4 linked regions of the Drosophila melanogaster genome follow. Changing the gene in region 4 together with the main gene of any one other region gives a genetic interaction. Each region holds a gene or a part of one and is shown on either strand. Other genes may lie near its edges.

The links.
Region 1: of park (region 4) and Drp1, changing one suppresses a phenotype caused by changing the other (phenotypic suppression), as found in Drosophila melanogaster (2 studies listed by BioGRID).
Region 2: of park (region 4) and Ucp4A, changing one suppresses a phenotype caused by changing the other (phenotypic suppression), as found in Drosophila melanogaster (one study listed by BioGRID).
Region 3: of park (region 4) and Ctr1B, changing one suppresses a phenotype caused by changing the other (phenotypic suppression), as found in Drosophila melanogaster (one study listed by BioGRID).

Annotation. Positions count from the first base shown.
Region 1 is NT_033779.5:2,580,487-2,587,307, forward strand, and holds Drp1 (dynamin related protein 1), read right to left. Parts: upstream 4,945-6,821; 5' UTR 4,786-4,944; coding exon 4,684-4,785; intron 3,916-4,683; coding exon 3,771-3,915; intron 3,713-3,770; coding exon 3,048-3,712; intron 2,833-3,047; coding exon 2,381-2,832; intron 2,326-2,380; coding exon 1,980-2,325; intron 1,917-1,979; coding exon 1,688-1,916; intron 1,624-1,687; coding exon 1,412-1,623; intron 1,353-1,411; coding exon 1,296-1,352; 3' UTR 795-1,295; downstream 1-794. Other genes in the region: Arpc5 (Actin-related protein 2/3 complex, subunit 5), read left to right, coding at 1-95, 158-400.
Region 2 is NC_004354.4:17,843,277-17,849,301, forward strand, and holds Ucp4A (uncoupling protein 4A), read left to right. Parts: upstream 1-1,672; 5' UTR 1,673-2,084; exon of another isoform or gene 2,085-2,144; intron 2,145-2,213; 5' UTR 2,214-2,233; coding exon 2,234-2,482; intron 2,483-3,406; coding exon 3,407-3,516; intron 3,517-3,654; coding exon 3,655-4,143; intron 4,144-4,205; coding exon 4,206-4,380; 3' UTR 4,381-4,947; downstream 4,948-6,025. Other genes in the region: CG8142 (uncharacterized protein), read right to left, coding at 144-230, 293-1,160, 1,237-1,343; CG15814 (uncharacterized protein), read right to left, coding at 5,365-5,485, 5,543-5,778, 5,841-6,025.
Region 3 is NT_033777.3:8,315,850-8,320,283, reverse strand, and holds Ctr1B (copper transporter 1B), read right to left. Parts: upstream 2,673-4,434; 5' UTR 2,548-2,672; coding exon 2,488-2,547; exon of another isoform or gene 2,278-2,487; intron 1,847-2,277; coding exon 1,382-1,846; 3' UTR 1,079-1,381; downstream 1-1,078. Other genes in the region: Poxm (Pox meso), read left to right, coding at 1-474; Coq2 (coenzyme Q biosynthesis protein 2), read left to right, coding at 3,894-4,434.
Region 4 is NT_037436.4:21,193,996-21,199,147, forward strand, and holds park (parkin), read right to left. Parts: upstream 2,859-5,152; 5' UTR 2,781-2,858; intron 2,775-2,780; exon of another isoform or gene 2,718-2,774; 5' UTR 2,708-2,717; coding exon 2,450-2,707; intron 2,391-2,449; coding exon 2,198-2,390; intron 2,142-2,197; exon of another isoform or gene 2,123-2,141; coding exon 1,777-2,122; intron 1,652-1,776; exon of another isoform or gene 1,636-1,651; coding exon 1,191-1,635; exon of another isoform or gene 1,136-1,190; coding exon 1,039-1,135; exon of another isoform or gene 962-1,038; coding exon 852-961; 3' UTR 759-851; downstream 1-758. Other genes in the region: Targ3 (terminal ADP-ribose protein glycohydrolase 3), read left to right, coding at 2,901-3,022, 3,076-3,250, 3,310-3,459; Targ1 (terminal ADP-ribose protein glycohydrolase 1), read right to left, coding at 3,465-3,495, 3,554-3,642, 3,765-4,130; Targ2 (terminal ADP-ribose protein glycohydrolase 2), read right to left, coding at 4,464-4,733, 4,886-5,152. UniProt on the Drosophila melanogaster protein: E3 ubiquitin-protein ligase which accepts ubiquitin from E2 ubiquitin-conjugating enzymes in the form of a thioester and then directly transfers the ubiquitin to targeted substrates, such as Paris, Marf, Opa1, Miro, pnut, Septin1, Tom20 and porin.

The sequences.
Region 1 (6,821 bases), on a different chromosome or scaffold from region 4:
AGATTACGACGCTGCTGACGCAGGGAAAATCCGTGGAGGCGCTCCTGAGTGCGCTGCAGAATGCCCCGCTGCGCTGCAAGAACCAGAATGTGAAGGTGGGTAGCCACACCTATTCGTATCGAGAACCCTATAAAGCTAATCCTTCCTTGCATTGCAGGACCACGCCCTGAACATCACGCTGCGGGTGCTGCTGTCCATCAAGTCGACGCAAATGGACCAGGCCATCGACACCTTGGACCAGAACGACCTAATAGACGTGCTGATGAAGTACATATATCGGGGATTCGAGATCCCCTCGGAGGGCTCCAGTGGCCACCTGCTGCAGTGGCATGAGAAGGCCTTCGCCAAGGGAGGAGTGGGCTGCATTGTCCGCGTGCTGTCCGACACAAATCGCGCCTAGAGGAGATCAGCACAGCCAAAGGCGGTCATAGAGTCACTACCCCAACTGTTCCCTGCCCCATAAACCGATTCATACGCATCGCGGAGCATTTAATCAACACAGGATTGGAGCACTGGACACCACATCCTTATCTTCGGGATTTGCCACGCCCCAGCTGGAACCCACTTCTGTTTCTTCGCCGCAATACAAATGACGTTTTCCAAATTAGATTTTAACTGGTATCCAAGTATTAAAGTTTTTATTACGAAAGGTGAGTGGCAGTGATTTCAATCAGGGGAACGAACGTACTTCTAGTTCACTCAAGCCACACCTACATGTAACATAATTTGTAAGAAAAATTTTGTTTTTAGTAAGGCTAAGCAATTGCTACGCATCTCAAAACTCAGGAAGATTCAACTCCTATCAGATTTAAACACTTATTAATCTTCAGACTGAGCCTAGCAACTTTACGAACATAATGGCTTATCTAATCGAAATTCCAGGTGTATCATTCAACATGATGACGTTGCCTTCGTAAACTTTTAGCTGCCGTGACAGAAAACACATCTACTATGTTTGAATCAACCTTTTCTGCTTTATTTGACTATTCAATGTGTAATAAGTGCTTTGAGTAACCTAATCAAACCAATCACGGCGTCTACAACTTCTTATTAATTTAAAAAGCGGAGAGGCTCGATGATAGACAAATGCCAGGCGAATAGAAATGCGAGTTGGCTAAATGAAAGGCCCAGAATTTGGGGGTCGCATGCAATTTGATGATATTTCAGTGCTCGGTAGGGGGAACATTTAACAAAGGAGTTCGTTCTCTTTGAACGCGTCTTCAATAAATAGTTTTTATGTTGCTTATATGCGGGGATTATTAAGTCGAAACGGGTTGCTCCAATCGCTGACCAGCCTACCACATGTGGGTCTCGCGGATTTCGCTGATGATGTGATTCGCTCGCGTCAGTGCCTGAAATCAAAAGTAAGTTTAAAACGATGTCAAGCTAAGTATAAGCTAGCCAAGCGCACCTTCAGCATATCTGCCGCCTCTTTTCGGCGCACTGCAATGTGATCGGACTCGTTGAGCAGGGTTTCAGCCTTATCCGACTTATACAGATGTGTAACCAATTCGCTCTGCAAGTTGTCCTTAACGTAGTTAACCAAGAAATGCATGATGGCCTTTGGAACCGAGTCTTGTATGGATTTGCGCACAATGTAGAAATACGATTTGATCAGGTGTTCTAAAAACAAAAAGTAGTCAGATTGAGTTAGGTCTTTAAGTGGCCCGAGTTAAGTGCAACCCACCGATGACATCGCAATCCTTCTGCTCCTTGTCAGTGAGGCGACGTGGATTGTGGTTGGCCGGCACATCGGGCAGCAGATTGACCGGCTTCACTGGACTCACGATGTTATTGTGAACCGGAGTGTTGTTGGTCGAGTTCTCAATGCTGTCCGGACGCGTTGGTGCCGGCGGTAAAATGTTTGACAGCCATGTGCTGGCCATCGAAGGCGTCGAGTTCTCGGCGACGTGGTTCTAGAGAGCGAAACGAAAATGGGTTAAATAGGTTGCATACATAAATGAAGATTCCGCTGGCACCTGCTCATGCACTTGGCTATATTGCTGCTGTGAGGAATTCGGCTGCGGCGGCTGTTGCTGCTGCGGCTGCTGTGAACCAGCACTGTGCGACGAAATCTGAGGCGACATGTGGTTTCGCGGTGTATTGGCCCGCCGCTGCCCCAGATTTATCTGTGAGTAGGGATCGCTGTCCGTTTTCAGCAGACTGGGCACCAAAGCGGCATCCTTGTGGAAGTCGGGGTGCTTGGTGTTGATGTAGGCCAGCTCGATGGCCACAATGTTCTCCACCATCACGTTGGTGTGCGGCAGACGTCGACGCAGCAGCTGGGTGACCACGTCCACAATCTTCTCGTGCAGTTTGGGAAAGCTGTAGGGGAGATCGATGAAAACCTTTGGCGTTCAGCTATCATGAGTTCACATACCGCAGCATCTCCTGCTGCACTTCGTTGCCACAATGCTGAACAATGCGCTGCATCTCCTCGTGAATGAGTTCCACGCAGCGCAAGGAGGGTTCCTCCAGGCGGCGAATCTGGCGCTTCACTAGCAGTTCGAACGAGACCTCCGGAACGAACAAAGCCGGGCGTGGACCAGTGGCATTCCGGATGGCTGTCAGTATGTCCATCTTGCTCAGACCCGCCAGCGGGTGAATGGAGTCCAGGGTGCGGCCGAAGGTCTCGTGGAAAATGTAGCCCATCCGGGCACCGCCGCACAGTTCCGTGGTCTCGATATTCCTGGCCGTGCCCTCGATTGTGCAGCAGTAGGCGCTGGAGAACTTCGTGATGATCTGCAGCAGGGTCTGGCTCTTGTCGGAGACATCCTCGCCATAGGAGTTCAGCAGCGATTGGAATTGCGTGGCCATGATGTTGACGCGAGTCTGCAAGAATATGGGAAGTCATTCTCTTGAATTCAACATGCTATTCTAACCTTATCTGCCATTAATCTTCTCTTGCTTTACCATAGAAAAATATAAAGATCGATTATAATCGAGTGCCAAGTTTGTTTCATTTTTTTACATTTTCTTGAAGTTTTAGCCTGAGATTCTCGCATAGTTTGTGAAATCGATATGCAGTCTTTATAGACTAGACTCACCTTAAGATCTGGCAGGCAGTCCCGGATGTGGTGCATCAGGAGCCGGTTGAGGGTCTTGGCCAAGTAGGGCGTGCCGTTCCGGGTGGCCAGAGTGGGATACTTGCGCTGCAGGAAGGCGGCCTCGTCCTTCATCTGATCGTCGATGTGCTTTTGGTCCATGATGTCCTTCTGCGAGCGATTCATAACGCCGATGATGCCCAGCTTGACGGGAATGACCCGGCCGCACAGGATGTCGATGGCATCGGTGCCGGCATCCATGAGATCCAGTTTCGTGACCACGGCCAGAGTGCGCCGGCCATCGGGGTCCACGTCCTTGGCCAGCTTGAGTGCCTCACTGGTGGCCATGTCCGTGTTGGCGGCCGTCACAGCCAAAATGATGGAGTTCGGGTTCTCAATGTACTTGAGGACCAATTCTTTGATCTGCGCCTCGATATCCTCCGGCTGATCGCCCACCGGGACCTTGGTGATGCCGGGCAGATCCACCAGCGTTAGGTTGACCACGTGCGTTGAGAATATCTTCAGGTTGATGGGCTCCGGGCAGATGCCCTTGTTGCTGCCCGCCGCCCGCTCCGTTTCGTTTTCGATCTCCTTGCGGATCTCGTCAAAGTCCGTGAAGCACTTCTTGGTGTGCAGGAAGCGGCCCCACTCCTCGGCATTGGACGTACCTAAGTGTTATGTGGTTTAGCAATTGGGTTTTCCCGAACTTCTGACGTCTCAACTCACCATTTTCCGCCGAGCGATTCTCGCGATCATCGAGTGGGCTGTAGATCAGCTGGAGCACCAGTGGGCGACGGGTCACAATACCAGTTCCACGGGGCAGAAAGGATCGTCCCACAACGCTCTCGATCACCGAACTCTTGCCGGAGCTCTGGAAAAAAGGGGAAATGTATGTATTACTGGGAGTTAAAACGACGGCTGATAAAAGACGATGACCTGATAAGGTGGCTCCCAAGCGTTTGCAGCGAGGAAACACTTGGAAAACCGCAGATTAACTATTCTTATCTGGCAATGGGAGCCATTCTGTGATTGCAAATTTCTCAAACTTAAGCCTTTGCAACAGAAAACCAAATGAATGGTAAGAAATGGCACAGATTCAACATATTGGAGCTCCGCTGTACTCGGTATCAATGAGTTGCGCGAGCATTTAGTCATACTGACTTAATTCCAGAGCGTGAATCAAAGTGCAATTAAGCCAGCGATCGAAACATGCACACATATATGTACATACAGACACAACTATCGAAGTCACACATGTGTACGTTTGTTTTTTGCAGTGTGTTCGTGGGGGAATGTGTCACATCAGCCAGCAGCTGTTTTTTTTTTCGTTTTTGTATAATACTGTGGCATATTGATTTTCCATGGCGGCGGCGAGCAGTGCCAAAAATAATTATATAAACAATGGGGACGCCGCGAAGAGCGAAAGCTGGCTGAAATGTTGCTACAAACTGAAAACACAACTAAAATGCCGGCAAACGCACTCAGTTATATAATTTTGCGGTCACTGGAAAAGCGCAAGAGTTGGGGTTTCAGATAGCTGCGCCATATTCCGGTTCTCAGTTGCCACTCCTTTTACGGAGCTCGGGGATTTATGGTTTTCGGTGTGCGGATTTTTGGGCACCTCGCAGTTTGCATTTACCTGACTGCCTAGAACAACAATTTGGGGCAATTGGATGGAGTCGGAGCCCACGGTGTTGAAGACGTCCTGCAGCTTGTTTATGACCGGAATTAGGGCCTCCATTCTGAGTGTGTGTGTGTGCTGGGTTCCTTTGGTCGCGTTCCACTCGGCTGGCGATTAATTCGCGCACATAAAGGCCGTTCTTTTCGGCTTTTTCTGATTGACGCGAGCACCGAAATTATTTTTGCAAACCGCCAGTGTTGCACAGCAAATTTAGACTGTTTTTCTAGCGGTGTTGCCACACGGGCGGAACTTGCTGCTATCGGCAGTCCCTAGACGAGGTTGCCACCGTGCGCGAGAGTGCTGCCAATCTATTCCAAAAGGGCAGCTTTCTGTGCGCGCCAAAATTGAATTTTTGGGTGTTTCCAATTTTGCCCGTTAGTTGCGTGTATTGAATACTTTACACAAATAAAGAAAGGTATGATTTCATAACATTACTTAAAATCCCCCAATAGCTACAAAATATGAATGTCCTTTTCTTTTTGTTTTGTTTCATATTTTGCCTTTTTACTTATTTTATATGCACATGAGGAGTTTGTATTGATATGGACCAAACAAAAGGGGTCCTTACAAACCAATCTGAAAACTCACACACCACAATCTAAATCTGGCAGAATCTCAATATATTCATCGTATCTAACTAAATTGAAAAACTACACAGAGTAGGCGCATTTCTGAATACCCTTACAGACATAACAGTGAAAATGAATATATAGCATAAATATATTGTCTTTGATTTTGTCTAATTTCTGCAGAAATAAAGGACTATTTAAACGAAGAAATATTAAAGTTGGAGCAGCCGCCAAGTGGTCAGACCACGTGGCCCAAAATAGGGAAAAGGAATAATCTGGGGACCGGCCTCAAGTGCTCGAGATTTGCATGGGCGGTTGGGATGGGGACTTCCCCGGTTTTATATAAGAATTGCAGGGCAGTGAGCTGTGCCCCAAAACCAAAAAGGGGGCTACCCGACTATTTCTCGACCACACTCGATTGCCTGCCTGGCATGCATTGTGGGCGAAATGCCGGGCTCATCTGTCGTTTTTATCGGTTTATTTCAATGTTCGAGGATGCTTGTCGCCCGGTACACTAAGCATTCAAATTTCGATAGTGGCCTGGCCCAAATGGACCAGAATATTGGACGTACATATGTATGTACCACATCCATGTGCATAGAAGCCCCCACTCACGTATGCATCATGTGTCCTATTTGATAACAGTTCCCATTGTTGTTTGGCCAGCTCCTCCTGGCTGCTCCCAATTGAAAATGACAATGAAAATTGTTACAAGTTGGCTGATATCATTTTGCAATGCTCGCTTATCTCTTTAATGGCTTCCAAGCGATTTGAATATGCTTGGGATGATTTAAGATGACTTATTATTTACAATCCCATTGAAGTATCGAATTGTTTGAGTTTATTGTTCCGATCGCAGGATGGTAATATCGATTATAAGTAGTTTCAAAATTTAATCATTCCACTTCAAAATTAGTTACGCCATCCATGAAACTTTGATCATTCAAGTTTGGGATACTGACTAATCTCATTTCTTGCCCCATTATTATACATTCTGGCATTTTTCGAACTGCAAGTGGGCTTCTTTAGCATTTTCATAGATAAACTTTCGGCTTCCAATTAACAAATTTGGCTGGCAACTTTGCCAGCACACCTCTGCTGTATCTGTGTGTTTGAGTGTGTATAAATATTTCAAAATTTCCCCCATCAAATTGGCATTGTTGGACCGGGGAACTTTCGTATCTCTGGCTTGACAACTTGCCGAAATGTGCGGCGTGGAAAACTTCTTGAGTTTGAGTTGACAGTTATTGCGAAAGACGGGCGGGGGTGATGGTGATGGGGCACGCCCCCTTCTCGGGGCCGGAATATTAATTTGATAATTTCACGGCTGAATGCAAATTCGGTGTCAGGGTCCTTGGCTCTCTAATTGACTGACGAATACTTAAAATATGAATTTCAAATGAAGTTCAGCCATTGTCTGCTTTCTGGCTTTCTTTTGCCGCTTTTCGACTTGGCGCGATTAATTATGGAGTGATGATGATGATGATGGTGATGATGATGGTGTAGTTGAAGCTGGAGCAGCCTCTG
Region 2 (6,025 bases), on a different chromosome or scaffold from region 4:
GTATAGATTCGCCCGTTAATCATTATGAAATCTACGTTTTATACACAAATACAACTACCAGATTTTCATATTAAATATAACATTTATTTTAGACTCCAGTCGCGGATAAAGTACATGTAATGAATGTGCTGAGTGGGATGAGATTACTTTAAAGCTAAGATGATGCAGCAGCCAAGGTCCATGATCTGCAGATACTCGGAGCCGCCGTCCTGCAGTCGAAAGCAGCATTCCTGTGGGATAAAGGCAGCAATAAACAAGAGGAATCATATCTATCTATGCAGTCAGTACGTACGCCCAGCTTATCGCAGATCGTGGCCTTTTGCGGATCATTCAGCCCCGGATGATGGACAATGAACTCGACGAACTGTTCCATCATTTGGCCAACGCTGTAGGCGGAGAAGCCAATCTCCCGCACGAACTGCTCCAGGCGCTCGTAGTTCCCAGAGCGACAGACCTCCAGGTAATCCTCCAGATAGTACTCCGGTATAACGCCCGACATCTCGAACAGATCAGCAGTGTTGATGATGTGCTCGGGCCCTTTAAGGCGGTAGCAGGACTGCAAGGTGGTGATAGCGCGTCGCAGATCTCCGCCGGAAATTTTGACAATGGATTTATAGGCATCGTCCTCTATCTTTACTCCCTCCATCTCGCAAATGTACTTCAAACGATCGATCACCTTGTCTTCGCCCAGCGCCTTGAAGCGAAATTTAGAGCAACGCGACGTGATTGGCACGATAATTCGGGACACATAGTTGCAGATCAGGCAAAAACGGGTGCTCCGGCTCTCCTTCTCCATGGTGCGACGCAGCGCAGACTGTGCGGCATGGGTCATCGAATCGGCCTCGTCCAGAATGATGATCTTGAAGGGCGGACACGGCTTACCGTCCGGACGCACACTGCTGGCCGACAGCTGCGAGAAGTTTTTGATCTTGGTGCGCACCACATTGATGCCACGCTCGTCGGAGGCGTTCAGCTCGAGGATGCGGTCCTTGAACATGTCGCCGAAGATCTGTCGGCTGGCAGCCAGGATCGTGCTGGTCTTGCCCGTGCCGGGCGGTCCGTAGAGCAGCATGTTGGGCAGGTCCCCGCCTTCAACGCACTTGCGCAGCACGGCCACCACTTCGGACTGCTCCACCACATCATCCACATTGCGTGGCCGGCTGTTTTCGTCATTCGAAAAGGATAGAAATCACTTAAATTAGCATGTGCTCCAAGTTGGCGACATCGTCAACTCACTATTTCTCCACCCACGGTGCCGGTGGCTTGCGACGCGCCGCCGGAGTACCCTGGCTCTTGTCTCCGGATCCCGCCGTTGATTTTCCCGTTTTCAAAAAGGCTTGCATACCGGTTTCCTTGTTTCTTGACAAAATTACAAATAAAGCAGGACGCAAATGCAAGTTAAGCGCGCGTTTATCGATAACAAGTTGTCGCGAGTTGAAAGGTTGCCGGTAGCAGAGCTGCCAGCTAGAGCGAAGCAATTGTACACCTGTAAAAACTTCTGTGTATTACAAAAGTTTGTATCAAATGTAATACTAAAAATGTTATATTAAAACATTTTTTAATATTTGTACTTATAAAATTACACTTTTGTACAGATTTTTTTATTTGCAAATAATTTGAATTTAAAATGAAAACAATATAAACATTAGATTCTCGCCGCGTAGGTGCATCCATCTATCCGGCAACCCTGGCCTGCATCGCTTTTGTTTTTGTTGCGTTTTTTTATTGCGCTGATAACTACGGGTTTTTTAGTTTTTTATAAAGGATATAAATAGAGCGGCTTTCGCAGGCAGGGTGGACAAACATGATTAACCGCCCAGCACAGCGCGTGCCAACGAGTGTTTTATAAGAGCCCGATTTGGATTCTGATTTTGATTTGCTATTGCCTTTGCCTCTGCCATTGCGATTGTTATTGTTTTTGTGCCCCGCCTTCGCCCCACAAAACCGAAAAGGAAAAAACCAAGAGAAGCGTTGCCAAAACGTTGTTATGTAAATGCACGGAAGCAGAACGTTGGCACAGGCACCAATCCTCATCCGGAATCCACCGCAATCGACGTGCTCCGCAGCGGGACACGAAGTTTAAGGTCGGAGCGCAGAGCACCCGCACGCATCACGCGATTGTGTGAAAGTTTCGCCTGGCTCGAGTTTGTTTAGCGCTTGTTTACCCAACGCGTAACGAAGTCACTGAGTTTCCCCTTCCTTGTGCATTGCAGATAGGAAACCCGGCTCGGAAATGGCCGCCAAGACGGACGAATCGTCGCCAGCCGTGGCGTCAAGCACAAGCAGCAATCCCGCTCCCTCCAGCGGACGCCACCAGTTGCGACCCGTGAAGTTTGACTACGCGGACTCATTCGCCTGCACTTACATCGTTTCCGTGGTGGCCGCCTCCATTGCAGAGCTCGCGACCTATCCCTTGGACCTGACCAAGACGCGTCTGCAGATCCAGGGCGAAGGAGCCGCCCATTCGGCGGGAAAGTCCAATGTGAGTGGCACCCCACACCTAACTGCTTTCCGCTTGTTGTTCTATTGTCTCAGGCTTTTGGTTACTCCTAACCCCGGAACCTAATCCACATCCCCCTCTTCCAATCCATCCATTCCTTAGCTCACAAACTAAACCAGAGATTGTGCTGCCCCCTCCGATTTATCTACTCCAATCGCGCGATTAGCGAGCCGAAATTTCACAGTGTGTTTTCAGAGTCAGAGATACGGCAAATCGGAGTGGGCACGGCCTTGCTGATAAGCCTTGGCTCACAAGACGCTATGCTAGGTGGCTCGGTATCAGTCACAGCTTCTGCCCAGATCACACCCATGCACCCACCCCCACCCCGGCTAGCTCATCCATTGTACCCGTATACGCCTTCCCACTTTCCCATCTGTGTGTGTGAATGTTTGGATTGGTTTAATTGTTTGCTTGTATTCATGGACTGTATTGATACAATTTATTACTAAGAGAGTGTATGATAACGATAGCTAACAAATATGAGTAGGTACTTGTTTAATCGTATCAAAAGAAACCAGTTTGCTAACCACAAAGAACATGTTTGATATTCGAATTACCAATCTCAGTTACGCAGAAAGGGAAGAGGGAAAATGAAAATATAAAGATTTCTAAATCAATAATAGCTAATCCTCCTAAGACGAAAAGCTATGTTAGAAAAGATACATTAACAAAAAGTTACAAGGCTTATAGGGTAAGCTTAGTAAATGGAATTAGATATGCGATAGGAATGGCCTAGCAATACAGGACCCCCATCCCACTGACCAATCCATTCCAATCCGTTTGTGTGTGTATGTGCCTGTTCCATGTGAATATTGTGTTTTTCGGCCTGCAACAGATACAGATACAGATACAGATACTACAATGAACCACCCACAATTACCGATTCCCAACGATTACCATTACCAGATGCAATACCGCGGCATGGTGGCCACCGCCTTCGGGATTGCGCGTGAGGAGGGCGCCCTGAAGCTGTGGCAGGGCGTAACGCCGGCGCTCTACCGACACGTCGTCTATAGGTGGGCATTCCCAAAACTCCTCATTCTAGCATCTAGATCACCGCCACAGCCAATCTGCGCCAGCAGCTGTTAGCCATCAGCCATTAGCTCAGCAAGTTCTAACCCAACTTCTCCCTGTCCTCCCATGTCCATCCGCAGCGGTGTGAGGATCTGCAGCTACGACCTGATGCGCAAGGAGTTCACACAGAACGGCACCCAGGCTCTGCCGGTTTGGAAGTCGGCGCTGTGCGGCGTCACGGCCGGAGCCGTTGCCCAGTGGCTTGCCTCGCCCGCTGACCTCGTCAAGGTGCAAATCCAAATGGAGGGCCGACGACGTCTGATGGGCGAGCCACCGAGGGTGCACTCCGCTGGCCATGCCTTCCGCCAGATCGTGCAGCGTGGCGGAATTAAGGGCCTGTGGAAGGGCAGCATCCCGAATGTGCAGCGAGCGGCGTTGGTCAATCTGGGCGACCTAACCACATACGACACCATCAAGCACCTGATCATGAATCGCCTGCAGATGCCCGACTGTCACACAGTGCACGTGCTGGCCTCCGTTTGTGCCGGATTCGTGGCAGCGATCATGGGCACGCCAGCTGATGTGGTGAAGACGCGCATCATGAACCAGCCCACCGACGAGAATGGCCGGTAAGTGACCAATGGCCGCATTTAACTATTGGAACGCTTAATCACCTATGTTATTCTCGCAGGGGCCTGCTCTATCGCGGATCCGTGGACTGCCTGCGACAGACGGTTTCGAAGGAGGGCTTTGTGGCGCTGTACAAAGGCTTTCTGCCCTGCTGGATACGAATGGCGCCGTGGTCGCTCACCTTCTGGCTGTCCTTCGAACAGATCCGCAAGATGATCGGAGCCTCCGGCTACTGAGCGGTGGCTCAATTTAAGTTTAGGTGTAGATGTACATACAAGCACATGTATAACGCAGTTCGTTCATGTTACCCCGCCTTTAAGTCGGTCATAATCCTATTTTCCGTGCCTGAATGCCCAAATGTCAGGAGGATGTTGTGCGGCTCCTGGCCAAGCTTAGCAGCATATACTCTGTCCATTTTAGTCTGTTATGCCAATCAGATCTTTCAGGTTTCTTTCTCTTACCTTTTGTTATTGTTGTTGCCTTAAGATTAAAATCAAAACTTACAATAAAGCGAGAAACTTGTTATTTCAACGGATATTACTTAGGCGATTACTTAAGAATTTCCCAAGAGTCGAGCGAAATCGAAAGAGACAGCAATGCTGGTGGTCAATGGAACTTGTATAATCCTGGCAAATAAATTATTAATAGGATTTTTCCCTTCCTTCAGTGAAAGTGAAACAGTTTTAAGTATTTTATCAATAGATTTTTTTTGGTATATGTATATTCCTAACCAGCTCGAGTGCAATTAAGTAAAATCAAGAAAATAAAATTGGTAATAATACCTAGGAGGCATACACACAGGCACACATATGTACATAAATACATAGCTACGTATAATATATAGATATAGATACATATATCCAAAATTGCATTTACGTTTCGATTAAAGACTCCAATGGAAAAGGAAAATTTGGGTGCCCAAAAGCAAACCACACACAGAACTGGAAACCCGCAAACAGATTGGATGGCAATGGCATTCGTCTACAGATCTTTCATCCGTCATCGTCATCATGGTTCAGGTTCATGTAATGGAGTCGTGGAGGGGAGCGGGGGAATGAACGGCGACGGTACTAGTGGTGCGGGTGTTTCGCAGCCCCTCCAGGTTGGTCTGTCGTTGTTTCTCCATCGTCGTGTTTTCCGTGTGGTTTCATGTGCAGGACTTAATCCGAAGTGTGTGTGCTTGACTAGACGCCGAGGAAAGCTAGTGCCGGTATCAGGATCTACTCCAGTCCCAGCATCCAGTTGATGCCTTGTACTATGAAAAAGATGAGCGGCTGCCAGGCCACCAGCCAACGAATCCAATCCAGCAGGCGACCGTACAAAACGTGCGGCTTCTCCCAGCTAGAGGAGAAACAATATTAAGTAGGCCAGTCAAACGGATGGCTCTGAATGGCTTACGGATTGCGGAACATCTTCTGGAGATCGACCTTTTCCTTGCAGTAGGGACACGTCTGCTTCTTGCCCACAATGCACCAACCACGTATACAGAACTCGTGGAATACGTGGTTACAAGACAACTTGTAGGTGTTCTCAATGACGCCCTCTTCCTTCTCCGAGACCAGCAACTGATTGCCACACACTGCGCAGACATTCTGATCAAGATGTCGTGTTGGAATACCCTGAGGTGTGTAGTACTGTGGGACAAACGGGAGGGTTAGAAGATTCCAACTGGGTATCTGGCCAATGGTCAACTCACGCCAATAGCTGCCGCCATCTTATCCGAACATATCTCGGATATATCACGCCCCAGGACGCCGATGTACAGGCCGTAGAAGCAGAACATCAGGCCCACATCCATCCATGTGTTTGGTGGCTGTGAGAACATGTAATTCATGCCCAGAAAGGCGGCTATGATCACCAGATAGCCCACCAGGCCAAGGC
Region 3 (4,434 bases), on a different chromosome or scaffold from region 4:
CATGCCCACGCCCACCTGTACAACTCCATCTACCAGCCGTACAGTGCTGCGGCGGCCTACAGCATGAAGACGCCCTGTGGAAGTCCATCCCCGCCGCAGGGAGCGGGCGGTCAGGGATCAGTGCCCCATCCCCACCAGCTGAGGAGTGTGGCCGCCGCAGCCGCTGCCGCCCACTGGCCCTCCTCCCACTCGGTCAGCGATATCCTGGCCCACCATCAGGCTGTTGCCCTGCGCGCCAGTTGCCAAGTGGGCGTCGGAGTGGGTGGAATGGGCGGCATGGGCAGTACGGTATCCCCGCTGCCGATGACTCCTTCGCCGGTGGCGGGAACGGCCGGTGGTCAGCCACTGCTCGACTGCGAGGGTGGGGCGGGACAGCAGTCGCCGTACAACTACTACATGTACTTCCAGAACGGCGGAATGCATCACCACCATCATCACGGCGGAATGATGGCCGCTGGAGCCACGGGCTTATGATTGGGTGGTCTATAATCAGCGGATTGGTTGCGGGTCTAGCTACTTTCGATCGCGGTTGTTCAGTCTAGGTTACTCTAGTCTAAGAGCTAGTTAGGGAATGGTCTCATCATGGCGCTCACTTGTCACTCAAATTTTAAACAAATGCACTAAAAGAACTTATAATTATCCCGGAAATTTCAAAATAATTTAAACTTTAACTAAGAAGCTTGCAAATACTGGTGTGTGGTTAGGCAAGTACAAATAGATAAAGTGTCGTAAAAAAATGTGTGCGAGATGATTCACATAATCATAAGGTTTGCTTAGTTATATTACCTGCCCAGATGTATCACAGCTAAAATATTTGTTAAAAAGATTTTTCAAGATCTTAACTAAACTAAAATATGTACTATTGTGTGATAGGTGAGTATCGTGATTAGTTAGGCCTTCAAATGTGAGTTGTGGGCTGTCAGGACTCAGACCTGGTAATGTTCGCATTTCATAACGAATTTCATGTAATCCTGGAGATTTAACTTTGCCTTCTTTTTTGTCTCATATCGGATTGTTTGCGTTTTGAGTTCGGGGTGGTCAAAAATAAAGTGTATTGCTTATAAAAACATATTGTAAAGTCAAAAGTATTGAGTAGTACTTTAATCGCTTTAGATGAATACGCGTTGTATAGGTTCTTGTTCTCATGACTACACTATTTGTACAATATGCTCATTAAGTAAACTAGTTGACTAATTTATGCTACGATTACATCAATAACAATTAAACCAAGTGTAACTATCGAATAAAATTGTATTTTTAAACAATTTGTATAATTACGTGGGGACGGGACTTTTTCTTTGATGTGTGAACCAAGAACTGATAAGGGCTTAGTTTATAACAATTGCAAGATATATAAACAATTAAGAGCGATATTCTTGATCTAAGGACAGCACTCGCTCTCGTCGGGATTCTTCTTGTTCCAGCCGAAGAAGAAGTAGCCCAGACCCAGTCCCAGGATCACTGCCAGGCACAGCCAGTAGTTGAAGGTCATGAAGATCAGCATCAGCAGGTACGAGATGACGATCTGCAGCAGGTTCAGCAGGGACTGGACGATGTGCGACGAGGCGAACAAGCGCTGCCAGTAGGTCTGCTCCCTCGGCTCCGCCAGGGGAGCTTCCGAGCAGCATCCTCCGGCTGCCGGAGCCTCGTTCTTCCTACGCTGCTCCGCCGCCAGCTGCTCGCTTGCTCGACGGGCTTCCCTGCGCGCCAGTTGCTGTCGCAGGAACTTGAGCGCCTCATACAGGAAGGACACCAGGAAGATGGCCAGGGCGGAGAGCACGAACTCCGTCACAGTGGACGCCACCCATCCGCGCCACAAAATTCGCTCGCAGTGTCCAGCGTGGAACTGAAAGGATGCGAGAGTGAAAGATTAACTACATAAGAATCCATAAGATCAGTAAGATGAGGCTTAAATACCAGTTAACTACCACTAATTACCACTTAATAACTTTCTAATTCGTATCTATATCTAGATTCCTAGATATCTAATATCTAGGTATATCTATATGGTCACTTTTGCTAAGATGATCCTTAATACAAAAGTTTAATATTACTTTTAGTTTTATAAAATATCAAGCTTAAGCTTTCCAATTAAACATCAACATAAACATAACATTCGAATTAAACATCTTTTTTATAATTCCCTTACAGCGGTATAATTTAACCCATGAATCTTTATTCATGAGACACCCTGTTCGAGCATATTCAATTTGTATTATTTGTATTTGCTGAGAGCGAATAAAGCGCTAGAGAGCGAATAATTCGTTGTGGTTTCTGGCACATAAACATACTTATACGAACTTATACTAGGGAGTGACTAGCCAGAGAATTCAAATTCCAAGTCGGACGAGATATTTGTTTGCTCTCCGTGCAAATCTCATTCAGCTAAACTGGATGAGTGACTTTTAAATTACAGCGTTTAGCGCAGTGGTAAGTGATTTTGTATCAAAATTGTTGGACACAGGAGTTGTGTAACTGCGTACTCACCACCATGATCATAGGGCAGGACTTGGCCGTGCTGGTGCTGTCATCCGAGCCGTGATCCATCTTGGGCTGCTGGTGTAGTATAGATATAGATAGAAGGCGTGGAAAATCCGACTGGCGATCGGGGAGGCACAGTGATAAGAGCTAGACCTGCTGAGGTGCTGAGAGCAGAGCGTTGACTGCTTGAAACCCGCTGCTCGCGAGTGGTTTTTTAAAGAAAATCGCACCTAATCCCCCGACGCGGCGATAGGAAAGTGCGCTTATCTATGGGCAATGGGAAAGAGCGTTATCACCCAGTAGCGGCGATACCAACGATAGTCGCCCCACACTAAGAAAGGCAGCCCAGATACAGTCATGTAAATAAACATAAATGCATGCAGATCTCAGTGTTAGAGGTCAGATCAAAAGATATATTCTGGGTATCAGTTGCAGATCTTTATCTCGAGAGATAAAATCCATAATTGATGCGTCGTGGGTTTCTCTGCGGTTTGCAGCTTAATTTATGGACTCATGGCAAAGGTTCGACAATCGATTCGTGTGCAGAATTTATTGCAATTCAGATTATCAATCATGGGCTAATACAACCCCCTGAAATTGTTGCTGTAATACATGATGTTGAAATAATTCCATTATTTCTTCGCTTCGATCACGGTTTTATGGCTCTAGTCGAGTACATTCATACGTAGGTATATGCCCATATTCCGGCATGGGAGCGATAGCAACCGTCGGCCGCCGGATCGCCGGAGGTCTGCCTTAGTCCACTTGGCTTTCCTAGAGTGTTATTTCTTACTGTGCTATTTCTAACTGGGATAGAATGCCGCCAAAATTGATGGCCGTGCGCAAACCTTCTGCGGCCGTGTGCATAAATTCTACGGACATTCCTGCGCCGTGTGCCAATTTCGAAAAATGGGCGACGTGCGCAAAACATTAACGATATTGCAGAGGGGTAAATGGTTGGGTCTACGCAAAAAAGAGAGCAAAAGCTTTTGCTAAACTGCTTAGGTGGAGATAACTGTAAAGAAGCTTTAGTTATTAGTATTGGTAAAACGAAGAACTACATTCCGCATATGTTCTTCTGTGTTTAGATATATAAATATGACTTTGGTGAAACACAACTCAAAAGTTAACAATTAACACAAGTTGTTTACAACTTTAATATATTTGTCTTTGAAACTTAAATTCAAATTTTTATCGCCAAATGCAGCAGTGCCACCGGATCATATTGTTTTTTCATCTATCCGGCAACTCTTTGTCTGCCTTTACCCGGATGGCAGCCCTTTGACATTCCCAACCAAAGTTCCATTAAACATCTTGCCATTTTTTGACTGTGAGTTTACGAACAAATACAACTTAACATCGTGTGACTTAATGCTTTAATCGTTGAAGGTGCTAGTGCAAGGCAAATCGCAATGTATGCGCTTCGACACCTGCGACTCCAGAGCGCTAGGCACTTCCGCAGCTCTTATGCAGCGGCGGCAACAACAAAACACATGCTGCCCCGGCAACCAGCGCGTGTTCTGATTGGAGATTGGAGCACTTGGGATAAGTCCCGGCTGCAGGATGTATGCTCCAGGAGTTCGAGTACCGCCACTGAGCCCGTGAAGCAGCAAACGCCGCTGCAGGAACTCGTGTCGGCCGCCAAACCCTATGCCCAACTAATGCGAATCGACCGGCCTATTGGCACCTACCTCCTTTTCTGGCCTTGCGCCTGGAGCATAGCGCTCAGCGCGGATGCGGGCTGCTGGCCGGACCTCACCATGCTGGGTCTGTTCGGCACCGGGGCACTGATAATGCGCGGCGCCGGGTGCACCATCAACGATCTCTGGGACAAGGACATCGATGCCAAAGTGGAGCGCACGAGGTTGCGGCCCTTGGCCTCGGGTCAGATCAGTCAGTTCGATGCCATAGTATTCCTCTCGGCGCAGCTCAGTCTGGGTCTTTTGGTGCTGG
Region 4 (5,152 bases):
GCCAAGGGATGTTTCCGCTTAAGAGCGTCCCGCGAACCTGTGGCATTTGGCCAGCCCAACTTTAGATGACCGATAAGCCGCAAGGCAGACTGATAACCAGGCAGGTGAACTTTCAGGCGTCTCGAGTTTCCAAGACGGCTTTTCTAAGCGGACTAATTGCAATTCTTGTAGAAGTTTATAAATTTAAATTAGTTATTCAGGGGAATGCGTGTTTCCTATATATAATTGCCTAAAATCTATTGATTTACAGATGTGTCCTAGGGCGGTTGCACATATGAATTATAAAACTGTATTAAAGTGAAATATTTAATTTTACGTATTAACGGCCAAAATTTAAGTTTCAGTTTCTTAATAATTTTCTCTTTTGTGTTTTCTCTCTTTAGCAAGAATAGTAGTTAGTACTTTTGAAAATCCAGGAACATTTTTGAAATGCCTTTACCATCCCCCAATCAATTATTAGTCCCCTTGCGGCTACGCGCCTGGGTTGAAATCACATGAACCTTGTGCCGCTGACCACCCACTGCGCATTCGCGGCACTCGCTCTCTGGCTGTTTGGCCAAATGCACGTGTTTGTTGCGGTTTTCGCATGCCTGGCCGAAGAGGAAAGCCCTCAAAATATTTGTGGGCGAGCTTAAAAAAAAACGTAAACAAAGTTTTTGTGCGCACGCAACAAAGGAACAGAGTGGGGTAGGATGTGATTCGCGTTGGTCCTTGTCAGGGGTGTTTCTGCTATTGATTGCGTAGACGACAAACAGGGTGTTGTTCGAGCAGTCTTTACTATGGTATACAATTTAAAAGTAGTCAACAAACAAAAAGGACCCGTCGGGCCGACGTACAACGATGACGAAGGATTAGCCGAACCAGTGGGCTCCCATGCAGTCGCGTGTCCACTCAGTCTGGCAGACCCAGCACCACTCGAATCCGCAGCCAGCGCGTGTGCAGACCATGTGCATGCAACCGCCTGGTAGGAAGAGAAGAAGACGGTATGGATGTGTTACAAACTGCGTCTTGGGTGTCTTCGATGCTCGCCCAACTCACCATCTCGCTCCGTGGGGGTTCTGCATTTTGGACAGGGCTTTGTGCTGACTTTGATGGTGACATTGCTGGCCTCATCCCATCGCGCCTCGGCAGCTCGCTAAAAAAGCACATGATTACACAAGCGGGAATGGGCCGTATAAGAGCCAACTCACATTTGGGTCCACGGTGTACTCGCAGGAGTTTGTGGCACTGGCGCCCGTCCCCTCGGGCAGACACTCCCCGATATGGTAGCCCTGCAGACAATTGCGGCAGAACACGTATCCACAGCCGTTCTGGCATGTCACCTTGCGACAATCGGGCTCCACCAAAAGGCCCATGCCGCATCCTGGCTGGGGGCAGAGTACTCCACCTGCCTGTAGGACATACTCCTCGGTGGCGAATCTCTGGTACCGATCGTACTCCTCGCGTGTCAACAGCTTGAAGTGATGAATCTCCTCGATGAACGAGTGCTCGCAGCCTGCGGGACAGGGCAAGGTGTAGCCGAAGTCCGGATGCGGCATAAACTGACGCTCGCCCAAACGGGAACGGCAATAATGGCGGAAGCAGTCGATACAGGTGACGTGCTGCGATGCGCAGGGGAAAACCAACACGGTATCACTGCGAACATAATAAGGTGATTATAGCAGAATAAAATTATATGACAAATAATTACTTTAAAGACTTTAAAAGAACTTTTTATGACATTTTCGATGATATGAAAATTATAAGAAATTAAGATGTTCCTTATTGCATAATCACCTCACATCCGTGCAGGCCAGGCAAGGAACATTCTTGATGTTATTCTTGATTAGATTCAATGGAGCCGCAAAATCCTTCTCCCCGCCGGAGACATGCTCAGCACACTTGAAGAAGAATTCAGCGAAGGGCGGATCGCCAGCCGCGTTGTCCACGCAGGCCACCTCCAGACTTTCACAATGACCGGGAATTCTACGCGACTTCAAGACATCATCCCAACACTCCGGATCACGATGGACAGTAAAGGCGCCGCCCTTGCATAAAGCGCAGCGGACCCGAAGTTTGCCATTACACAGCTTATCGCATTGGCTGCAATGTACAAAGAAATGCGCTTTGGCACGGACTCTTTCTGGAGAGGATACGACGGGATTACAAGGGGTTTCGTTAAAAAAAAAAAAAACAATAAAAACTAATTGTTGCCTACCTTCATCGGTTATATTCAGACGCTCCTCGCTTTCCAGCTGCAAGTCCAACAGAGTTTCATTTAGAGGCTTGGAGGCTTCATCGCTAAGCGAAGGTTCCTCCTCCTCCAAAGTGGCCGACTGGATTTTCTGGCGCTGCACGGGCGGTCGCAAACGAATGGCATGCAAAACGCTTTGCTGACCCAAGTCACATTGCTACTAGAAGACAGTAAAAGTTAACTTCATGTAGCGGATACATTAAAGAAACTTCTTACCTCTATTGTCGTGGCATCGCTTAGTTCCTTACCGGCAAATATGATCTTTAGATCATCCGGCTGAAGTCCCAATTGTGGTGCCACCAGTTCCTTTACGTTTTTAATATCCCACTGGGGCTCCAGATTAACGGTCAGCGTTTTGCCCGTGTTCGTTTTTACATAAATACTCAGCGTGTGCGTAAGGGTTTTCCCTCCAAATTGCAACAGCTCCAGCATTTTGCGTACAAAAGTGGCAATAAATTTAAAAATAAAACTCATTTGTTATCAGCTGATCGGGTTTAATTTTAGTGCAGTGTATATGCTTCAGTGTTGCCAATCGTTGTTTACTTACGCGTTGCCAAACACCAGCTGGCAGCCATTCGGAGGAAAACGTGGACACGCAGAAAGCGCACAATTGAAAACAATTTTTGTGAAGAAGTCGGAGGAGTATAAATGTAAAAGTTTTATGGAAATGTCAGGACTAACTTACAGAGAGATCAATGGCGACCTATTCAAATGCCAAAGGGATTATTCCATGTGCCACTGCGTGGCTGCCGATTTGCGAATGGGCAGAGGCATAGCTGTAAAGTTTCGGTAGGTAATGGCTTAGTGTTTTTAATAAAATGGTAAATTTGCCTATTTTCCAGAAACAAATTTGGACAGTTGTTGAATTTGCAGAGACAAAATGTTCAGCCAGGCGGCGTGGCTGTCCTTCAGGACCAGCAGCGATTTATTTACTATCTGATCACCAAGAAATCCAGCTGGGGAAAGCCCACCTACGAACTTCTCCAGAGTTCCTTGATCGCCATGCGAAAACACATGGTATGTTTATGTATCTTCTATAAGAAGTTATGATATACGAATCTTTCTACCATTTGCAGATCTCCCACCAAGTACCCAAGCTAGCCATGCCCCGCATTGGATGCGGTTTGGATGGCCTAAACTGGCCCAAAGTTAAGGAAATAATTTGCCAGGTTTTTCAAGCGGATTCTGTTGAGCTGGTCGTTTATAATTATGTTGCTATGAAGTAAATGGCTCATATTAAACTAAACGATCCATTATTTTCCCTGTGGAGGCACAAAATTGTAGACAACAATCTCCAGCGGCTCTTGGCCAAAAACGTACTCGAGGACTCCGCTGACTTTTTCCCATTCCAAGCCATCAATTCCGCAGCCAATTTTTGGGATGGCCAGCTTATTCACGTTGTTTTTGCGCTAATGTAGGAATAATAAAATGTAGCTCTTATTAATATAACTTGTCTAAGCTTTATATATATAATAAATAAAAGCAGGGATACATTCCATTCATAAAAGATATGTATCAGGCATGTATTTACCATATGCTCACGCATCTGCTCCAAAGATGCTTGTACAGATTCGTAGGTGGGCTTTCCCCAGCTCTGAGGCTTGGTTACTAGGTAGTAAATGTACCGCTGGTCATCCTTCAGCACCGCAATATCTCCACTGCCCGCTTGTTGGGCTTGCAGCTCGTCCAACCTTCCGAATACCTTCTTGAACTGCACGGCAATTCCAGCACCCATCGCAAGATCTGCGCCCACACAGTGCGCCAAGGAATAGGTCTTGGGGGCGGAAAACAGATCCCCATCCACTTCGCTTAGGGTGTACTGAGGTTTGGATGACATTCCGACTACAAAAGCTCGCCGAAATGCGCTACGTAGTTCTAGAAGTTTGGGAGAATACATTTAGTTTAAATAAGGGTTTTAGATCTGTCTGACTTAGTGTAACAGGCAGCTACTAGATTAATTTTTGGTCATACGATAACACTAGATAATGGTTCGTAAGGGTATATATATGTATTTATCAAAACTCCAATCTTTGGTTAATATCCTCTCGAGGACGTGTTTTATTTATTAATACATTAAATACAGTATAAATAACCAAATATGGAAACTTTGTGTGCTATAAAAACCTCTTAGGTGTATCGTTCTTATCAACTATATAAGTATTTGGTGCATATGATGCCACAAGTCCCAAGCAAAACCATTTCGAGTGTCAAACAAAGATGGCTATATACATTAAAAGGGAGTCTTTTCGCGATGAAGCGAATTTCTTGATCCACTAACGGACCTCGATGGCAAATGGATGGTCTTCATGTGCCGGCAGGTGGGACAAACCACGTTCAACGTGTCCTTAACCATTTGTGGCGGTGTGTAGAAGAATGCAATTATGTCCACGCTATCCTCGGCGAAAACCAGATCCAGCAGACTCCGCACGCGCAACCAATCCAAACGGTCGATGCCGCATCCAAGTCTGGGAATGGCCAACTTGGTCACTCCGTGCTCCCTCTGAAAGAGAGAATATAGCAAGCATATTTAGTATCCAGTATCTTGCTCTAATACAGTTTGGTGAACCTGATCCTAACTATAATGTTTCACCTTTCTCTTTATTTTAGTAATGCAGTTTTGGTCTGTAAGCCCTTAAAAATACAATTCCTTACCATATGTTCCCGCATGGCCAGCAATGCGTAGTAGAGAGCTGCGTAAGTGCACTTTTCGTGGCTGCGCTCCTTGGTCACCAGGTTGTAGATATGTCTACCATCCTGCTCCAGAACTGCCACATTTCCGGTATGCTTGTGTTGGCGCTTCAGCTCATCCACTTGTCCGAATTTGCAGCGGAACTGCAGATTTATGCCCGCACACATAGCGAAGTCCGCACTGACAGAGTGCACTAAGGCGTAGTTTTCCGGGGCGCTGAACAGGTTCCC